Linked DNA regions of Callithrix jacchus. The protein of the gene in region 1 purifies or fractionates together with the protein of each later gene. This does not show direct contact. Links are inferred from orthologs where the notes say so. Each region holds a gene or a part of one and is shown in the gene's direction. Other genes may lie near its edges. The genes, in order: TNIK and NCK1.

Evidence for each region.
Region 2: the proteins of TNIK (region 1) and NCK1 purify together in Homo sapiens (affinity purification with mass spectrometry; 3 studies listed by BioGRID and IntAct, with this or other methods). This does not show direct contact. The link is inferred for Callithrix jacchus from reciprocal best matches to the Homo sapiens genes TNIK and NCK1.

The regions. Positions count from the first base shown.
Region 1 is NC_133518.1:15,981,782-15,985,593, forward strand, and holds part of TNIK (TRAF2 and NCK-interacting protein kinase), read left to right. Parts: intron 1-719; coding exon 720-831; intron 832-1,668; coding exon 1,669-1,839; intron 1,840-3,590; coding exon 3,591-3,734; intron 3,735-3,812. UniProt on the Homo sapiens protein: Serine/threonine kinase that acts as an essential activator of the Wnt signaling pathway. Recruited to promoters of Wnt target genes and required to activate their expression. May act by phosphorylating TCF4/TCF7L2.
Region 2 is NC_133518.1:47,382,703-47,387,248, reverse strand, and holds the start of NCK1 (SH2/SH3 adapter protein NCK1), read left to right. Parts: upstream 1-1,597; 5' UTR 1,598-1,681; exon of another isoform or gene 1,682-2,116; intron 2,117-2,424; exon of another isoform or gene 2,425-2,529; intron 2,530-3,903; exon of another isoform or gene 3,904-4,071; intron 4,072-4,546. UniProt on the Homo sapiens protein: Adapter protein which associates with tyrosine-phosphorylated growth factor receptors, such as KDR and PDGFRB, or their cellular substrates. Maintains low levels of EIF2S1 phosphorylation by promoting its dephosphorylation by PP1.

The DNA.
Region 1 (3,812 bases):
CTACTTCCAACATCATGTTTTCATGGTGCTCTCCAAGCCTGAGATTCATTTTTCAAAGTAAGCCTTCAAGGTACATTGCCCACAAACCTAATATCTTCATGAAGTCCCTAAATAAAGATGTAATTATTCTTTTAAGGAAACTGTCATGGGAAGAAAAAATCTTCAATTCCAGAATAATATCATCCCTGAATTAAAGATTTTAAAACTTCTGGAGGCAATACCAATCCACTTGCATCACCAGGCCAGAGTGAAAGGGCTGAAAGTTCTCCTCCCCAAGAGAAAGCTCCTTGGGTTGACTCAGTGTTCAGGACCAAGTGCTGCCGTGTAGGCTTACTTAGTTTATTTCCAACTGCGTCAGATTTTCATATTGACCATGTGATCGATATAGGAGATTGCTTTTACTGAAAGCGAGAGGAAAGCTCTGTCACCACAGTGGTCCTACAGATTTTAAGGTGCCGTACGTGGTTCACAATGTAATTTTCTCACTGCAATTCTTGCAGTCTGATAATGAATGAAGTCCTACAAATGCACAATGGCTAGTGAATAATCAACACCAGAAGAAGCTGGAGAGAGGCACACACTGACTAGGGCGCTAGAATATGAACAGCTGAATACCCTGAACAATCCATGATCATTTTACAGCTCAAGCACAGGGTTGTTAGCATTGTTTAGTCCTGCATATTTATCTGCGCTTCTTAATCTTCTTGCTTATTGATTAGTATGGCATGGGGAGCAGCACCAAAGCCTCCTTCACCCCCTTTGTGGACCCCAGAGTATACCAGACGTCTCCCACTGATGAAGATGAAGAGGATGAGGAATCATCAGCTGCAGGTAAGCAAGAAGGGCCCAGTGTTTTAAAAACAGCTTCGTCTTCCTTCTGTTACAGCCTGATAAGAAAATTAATCCTCAGTTCAGTAGTTAAGCCAATTACTCCTTATGTCCTGTCTTAAAAGGAAGATTTGTTAAAATTATTATTTCTTGTTAAAATTTTTGTTAAAATTATTATTATTTAGGTATCTTAAAACAAACTTACTTATTTCCATTTTTTTTTTTCCATCTCTTCTGTTTTGTTTCTGGTAGACCCAGGGGTATATAGAGACCCTAGGAAAGCTGTTCCTCAGTGATCTCTGAACATAACCAAATATTTCCCCAAAACAATTTCTGAGTACAATGCTTTGCACACAGTAGGCCCTTAATAAGTGCATGGTGCATTGTGTTGAGTTCTAGGTGTGTGCTTCCCACTACAAAAATCTGGCTAATTTAGAGGAGGGTCTTGCTTTCTAATGTTCTTCAAGTAATTAATCATCAAAGCAGCTTAGGATAGTTTTGCAATTGATACTCTGGAATTTCAAAAAGTAGATCTTTTTTGCTTATATTACAGGAGTGGGGATGGTGTATTTCATTTGGGGAGATTAATATCAACTTTCTAAGCTGTCCAAGTAGTGTCTATAAGCCTGTTTTGCTAATTAATGAAACACTGCTTTGATGAATGACTTATATTTTATTCACTTTTTTAAAAGTGTAAAATAAGAAGAGTTTCAGTGTTTCTTTGCCTTTACTATAATTCAAACCAACAAGGAGAAATCATAGTGTTTTGAAGTCTCATCTCCACATCTTCATAGGTTATCTTTAAGATGCCACTGACTTCTCTGATTCTTTTTCTCAAAGCTCTGTTTACTAGTGAACTTCTTAGGCAAGAACAGGCCAAACTCAATGAAGCAAGAAAGATTTCAGTGGTAAACGTAAACCCAACCAACATTCGGCCTCACAGCGACACACCAGAAATCAGAAAATACAAGAAACGATTCAACTCAGAAATACTTTGTGCAGCTCTGTGGGGTATGTCAGTGCCTTTTTTTTTTTTTAATAACCTCTTACTAATGAACTGACCCCCAAACAGGAAAAGCCCGTGGATCTTGTCATCAAAAGAACACTGGTTGAATGGTGGGTATCAGATACCTAGCTTGGGATTATCTTGACTTCAGGAGAGACCAAAAGCCATTTTATATGTAGAAATAGCTGACACCCTACTAGCCGGGATGATGCGATTAGATTCAAACAACCTTGCCGCAAAATAGTGATGGGCTAAAGCCAACAAGAGAACTAGCTACCACCTGATACACTGAATGTGCAAGGCAAGGTCTGTAATCTGATCAATCAGAGGTGAGCTGTGTCCGGCACTTCGTGATATACCCCACGCTCATTCTCCATGATCCATACAGCCTGCGAGGGGAATAAGCACATAAATCATGGCATAACCCTTCATTTCAAGCTGAAAAACCAGCCCAGAGGATTTTAGTGAATTATCCAAGGTCATACCACTAGCAGTAACAAGATAAAACTTGAAGAGAACAACAAATAATATGATGAACTTTGCCTTTTAGTTTAAAACATCAGTCTGCATTTCTTGTGAAAAATATCTGCAGGTTTTAGCTGACCTCAGACCCAGGATAGGCATGATGAAATTCTGTCAAAGTCTTGGTCTATGTTACTATGAACATCTTATACAGATTAAGGAAGGGCATGTTCCCTATGTACCCATTGAAAACAGTAGGCTTGGAATTGGGGAACTGTACTTTTCAAGGGCTGAAAGCATTTGAGATGTTAGTAGGAAAGAGTGTGAAGCCTAGAACTATTTCATGATAGATGCTCTGTCCTCTGGAGAAGGGACAGAAGAGAACAAGATAGCCACATTTAATTTAAAAGGATTAATATGTGGACAAAAAAGCAGATATTTGTGTTGATCAGAAGATAGAAGTACAATAAGTAAGATAAGTTGGAGAGTTACATGTTCATGAATGTAGTACACTGCACAATGAGCGTCTCAATGTGTGTGTGTAGAGGGGTGGACGATAAATTTCCCTAGCAATGCATTTTTAGGATTACAACGACCCAGACAAAACCACTTACCTGCCTGTGCTTCTGGAATAGGGATTCCTGCATGGGTGTTGGGCTGCACTAGATTTAGAGAACTGAGAAGTCCCTTAAATGAGTATGTTTGTGACTCTCCAGCTATTGACACTTCTCTTGAATGAATTTATAATTTCTCCAAAAAAGAGCAGAAACTTGAGGGTAAGGGGCATAAGGTAGTTAGATTTTGGTTCAAGGAGGAGGAAGGGCCTTTCTTCCAATGGAGTATGGAAATGAAATTTCCATTGTACACTGAAGGCGGGCAGGCTAGAAATCACTGCACGGGGGTGGGGTGAACCTTGGGGAAGAAGAGAAGTAGATTTATAGGGAGAGCCAAGAAAGAAGTGGTTGTTCCAGGAAAGGAATAAAGGAAGATTATGCTAGCTTCATATCTGTGCCCAAGGCCCCTGTTGACAAGGACTCTCTGCATTAGGTAGTAAATAGGACATGTGAATGAAGCTACAACTTTACAAAAGGAAATTGTGATTTCATTACCAGAAGTACAATGCTTTAATTATTACGTCAGAGCTTCTACTTCTACACTTATTAGTTTATATTTACCTGCTTGCTCATTAGTTTATATTTACAAGTCACAGTTTCTTAGATTTTTATAGGGACTCTTGATGCCGAAGATTAAAGTTTGTGAAAAGTCAGTCTTACGGTGCTTCTTAAATTTACAGGTGTAAACCTTCTGGTGGGGACTGAAAATGGCCTGATGCTTTTGGATCGAAGTGGGCAAGGCAAAGTCTATAATCTGATCAACCGGAGGCGATTTCAGCAGATGGATGTGCTAGAGGGACTGAATGTCCTTGTGACAATTTCAGGTATGTTACTAAAATGATGAGTCCCCCACGTCCAAACAGGTGGGAAAGGTGACCACCCCTTTTCTGCAGAAACAGTTA
Region 2 (4,546 bases), about 31 Mb from region 1:
GCAAATAATTTTGAAGTTAAATGCAGAAAACTGCAAACTTTTGAGGCTGATAGCTAGGGCCAGGATTAAAGTAAAAAGTATTAATGCCTTAAACAAAATTTACTGACCATCTACCATGTGCAAGGCCCTAGGGAGAAACTGAACAGACACGGTTCCTGATTCAATGGAGTTTACAATCCACGTAGGGATACAGACAAACCATTTCAATAGCTCGGATGGAGAAAATACCTGTGCTCAAGGATACCTAACTCGGCAAGCTTCCCTGAGGAGCGACCCTAAACTGAACCACAAAGATGGTTAAGAAGAAATGAGGCAGCAGGGTGTGGTGGCTCATGCCTGTAATCTCAGTACTCTGGGAGGCCGAGACAGGCGGATGAGAAGGTCAAGAGATGGAAATCATTCTGACCAACATGGTGAAACCCCGTCTCTAATAAAAATACAAAAATTAGCCGGGCGTGGTGACGCGTGCCTGTAGACCCAGCTACTAGGGAGGCTGAGGGAGAGAATCGCTTGAAACCAGAAAGCGGAGGTTGCAGTGAGTCGAGATCGCGCCACTGCTCTCCAACCTGGCGACAGAGCGAGACCCCGTCTAAAAAAAAAAAAGGTTACTACGGTTTGCAGCACACTTACTGATGCTTCAGCCAGTGGCTGGAAACCTTATAACAGGCAGACCTAGCTCCGAAGATCCTCTTCATAACACTACTGTCGCCAAGACTGGAAGCTGCCCAAGCACGAGGGTCCTTTTAGAGGGACCTCAGACTCAGTTTATTTTGGTCTGTGCCTCAAATTAAACACAAGTCGGCCTGGCGCCGTGGCTCACGCCTGTAATCCCAGCACTTTGGGAAGACGAGGCAGGCGGATCACGAGGTCAGGCGATCAAGAGCATCTCAGCCATGGTGAAATCCCGTCTCTGCTAAAACACAAAAAATTAGCCGGGCGTGGTGGAGGCGCGCGCCTGTAGTCCCAGCTACTCAGGAGGCTGAGGCGGGGAATCGCTTGAACCCGGGAGACGGAGGTTGCAGTGAGCCGAGATCACGCCACTGCACTCCAGTCTGGGCGACAGAGCAAGACTCTGTTTCAAAAAAAAAAAAAAAAAAAAAGCCACATGTCTTACATTTCTCCCAGGTCCCAATTTTCAGGTCTTTTTATTTGTTTTTCTTTGTCCCTCCCTGCTCCTAAGCACCTTCGGCTGGGAAGACATTCTTCAGGTGCAGAAACCAGGGGGAGGCTCCCTGAACAGTGGGGGTTAGCTCAGGACGCTGTCATTTTTGCTGTAGAGTCTCTCCTGCAGCGCTGGGGCGGAAGGCTCAAAGTAACCACCCAGAGCAACCGCAGAGGGAAAACCGAAGACAGTCGTGGTCTGGCCTACCGCTTCTCACCCTCTCGCTGTCTTCTTTCCGCCGCGCAGCCTCAGCTCTTTCCACAGTACGAACGGCGCTTGATTGACAAGTGGGCCCGCCCAATCCCAGTGCGGCACAGACCACTGTCGCGTCAAGGACCGGGAAAGGGGGCGACTGAACCTATCAGATTGGGTCGGGAGTGGGTTTCCTGCCCGCGCGGATCCGCCTGCCCACCGCGCGTGCCCCGCCCCTCTCCCGAGAGCTACGCGGCGGTAGAGCGCAGGCCTCGTGCCGTTACGGTCATCACGGCGACCGCGGCGGCGTCCCGGTGCCTTCCTCAGGTGAGCTGGAGCTAGCCGGCACGGAAGACGGAGGGTGAGATGGCCTTGCTGGGAGGCCGACACACACACACCCCCTCCTTCAGTCGGCTGTCCGTCCTCACAGCCTGTTACTCGCTGCGTCGCTTCCTCTTCCCCCGCTGAGTTAGCCCCGGGGGCGCCGTCTGCAGGCTCGGAGCTGAGCCGGAGGGGATGCGGAGGCTGCTCGGCGGGGCCCGGACGTCTGCACTGGGATTCCGCGAGACCCTTGGGGCTCTGCCCCAGGGAGCGCGAACCCGTGGCCTCCTTGTCAGCCCCTGGAGCGCTGCGTCGGGGTTAGAGCCCGGGCGACCGCCCCTGCGAGGCTGGGAGGTCGAGTGTGCGGCTCGCTCGCCGGCTTGTCTATTTTCTACTGAAAAAGTCCTGTTGCCAGCTGTGGCGTAATCCAAGACCGGGAAGGTAGGGACGTGGTAGAAGGGAGGGCGCTCTCACCTCCAGCCCGAGAGGAGGAGGGGGCGGCAGCCTGCGCGGTGCTGAGGGTGGACATATTCGGGACGCGCCCTCGCCCCTCCCCCTACCCGCCGGCGGTTTTCTGGTCCGGGGCTTTGACTTTAAACGTCTGGACCTGCTTCACATTCGTACGCGAGTTGCTGGGGGTGTAAACTTTTGACTTGAGTTGTAATATGTTTGGTAAAAAAATTATCTCGATAGTTTTGTAACATTTCTTGTATGTTAACGTATAAGTTAAATTTGCCGTTAGAAGCTCAGGAAGCTGGATTTGTTCAGGGCTGAGGACGTAACGGTAGGAAGGCTCTCGGTGTCAAATCGATGGATCTGGAGTCAACTGAAAATAATTCTACACGTTATATTAGGTAAGAAGCCTTAGGAATTGTGAAAGAATGAGGTTAAGAAGAATTTCCAACTCCTTTTTGGGAGGGGAGCAAAGCAGCTCAATGCCCCAAAACGGGTAAGTGTTGCCAAGAGGTCCTCATTTTTTTTTGGTTGTTGCTGATTTTTTTTTTTTTTTTTTTTTTTTTTGAGACAGAGTCTTGCTCTGTCGCCAGGCTGGGGTGCAGTAGCGCGATCTCGGCTCACTTGCAACCTCCGCCTCCCGAATTCAAGCGATTCTCCTGCCTCAGCCTCCCGAGTAGCCGTGCTACCGTCGCGGGCCATTACCACCCCCAGCTAATTTTTGTATTTTTAATAGAGACGGGGTTTCACCGTGTTGGCCAGATGATTTCCATCTTCTGACCTCGTGATCCGCCTGGCTCGGCCTCCCAAAATGCTGGGATTACAGGTGTGAGCCACCGTGCCCAGCCAAAGTACTCATTTTAAAAATCTTTCTTGGATAGACTTACGGCAAACCAACAATAATGATTTCTTCAGCACCTGGAAAGCGCTATGTCTAAACTCTCAGCCTTCAGCGAGGTCACACAGTAAATGGGGAAATAACCCAATAAGAAAGTTTTGTTTGTTTGGTAATTGTCAACGTTTGTTCTTTTCTTTTTTTAAAACACTTTATTTTCTTGTGGGGATGGAGTCAGTGATGTTCTTAAATAGGCATTCCATTCACAACTTGATAGTAATATGCACTGGTTAATAAATGGTACTTTCTTTTCATCTTGACCACAAGCTCTGAGGCTTTCTTCTTTGGGAAAATTATGGTCTGTGGGAATTGGCTCTAATATCCATAAAGATAGATTGCAGAGTGTTCAGATCTACTAGCTGTTGGTTCATGTATTAAATTTTTAAATGTGTACTTATTTTTCTAGGCATTATCTTTTGTCCAGGTTTCTGTAGTGCTTTCAGGTCCATGTAAATAAAACTTGAAACCTACCTGTAATGTTTTGTTAGTTACTGAATGAGACCAGGCGAGGTAGTTCAAGCCTGTAATCCCAGCACTTTGGGAGACCAAGGCGGGAGGATAGCTGGAGTCCAGGAGTTTGAGATCAGCCTGGGCGATATAGTGAGACTCTGTCTTTAAATTAGAAAATTAAAAAAAAAATTTAAAAAGGAAAATAAAAAGAAAAGTGATATTAAGTGATGCTTTGTGTTTCTTGGTTTCTTTGAGATGGAGAAACATAAAGACTTGCTCTGTTGCCCAGGCTGGAGTGCAGTGGCATGATCTTGGCTCATTGCAACCTCTGCCTCCTGGATTCAAGCGATTCCTATGCTCAGCCTCCCCAGTAGCTGGGACTACAGGTGTGTGCCACCACACCCAGCTAATTTTTTTTTTGTATTTTTAGTAGAGACGGGGTTTCACTATGTTGGCCAGGCTGATCTTGAACTTTTGACCTCAAATGGTCCGCCCACCTGGGCCTCCCAAAGTGCTGGGATTACAGGCGTGAGCCACCGTGCCTGGCTGAGTTTCTTTTTCTTTTGGATCTCTGAGGACTTTCCTTTCAAAGCTGAAGGTATGTTTGATGTGATTATTACAAATCACTTGTCAGGAAGAATTGACGTAATGAATACAGGTGCAGTTCATTTTTAAAATTATGGTTTAATAATTTTTAGAATTTACCTTTATAATATGGAAAAATACCATACATTCTTTATCTGTACTGGAAAATTAAATGATTATTTCATTGATAAGTAAAATTGAAGGGAACTCTTGAAATCACTGAGCATTTAACAAATTCTCTGTAAATACCTTGATGTTAAGAAGACCACAGGGCTAAATATGACATTTAAAGATTAAGACAACAGTTATGTCTGGCTGATCCTCACCTGAAACTGTAACAAAGAGAACTAGTCTTCCCTTCAAAACTGATGCTGACTTGGTTTTGTTGACATTACCACGTTTTCAATTACCCAGATACAAACTTTGGTTTTATCTCCTAGCTTGTTAACAATATTGGACGATTTTTGCCAGCCATTTTTATCTTTGAA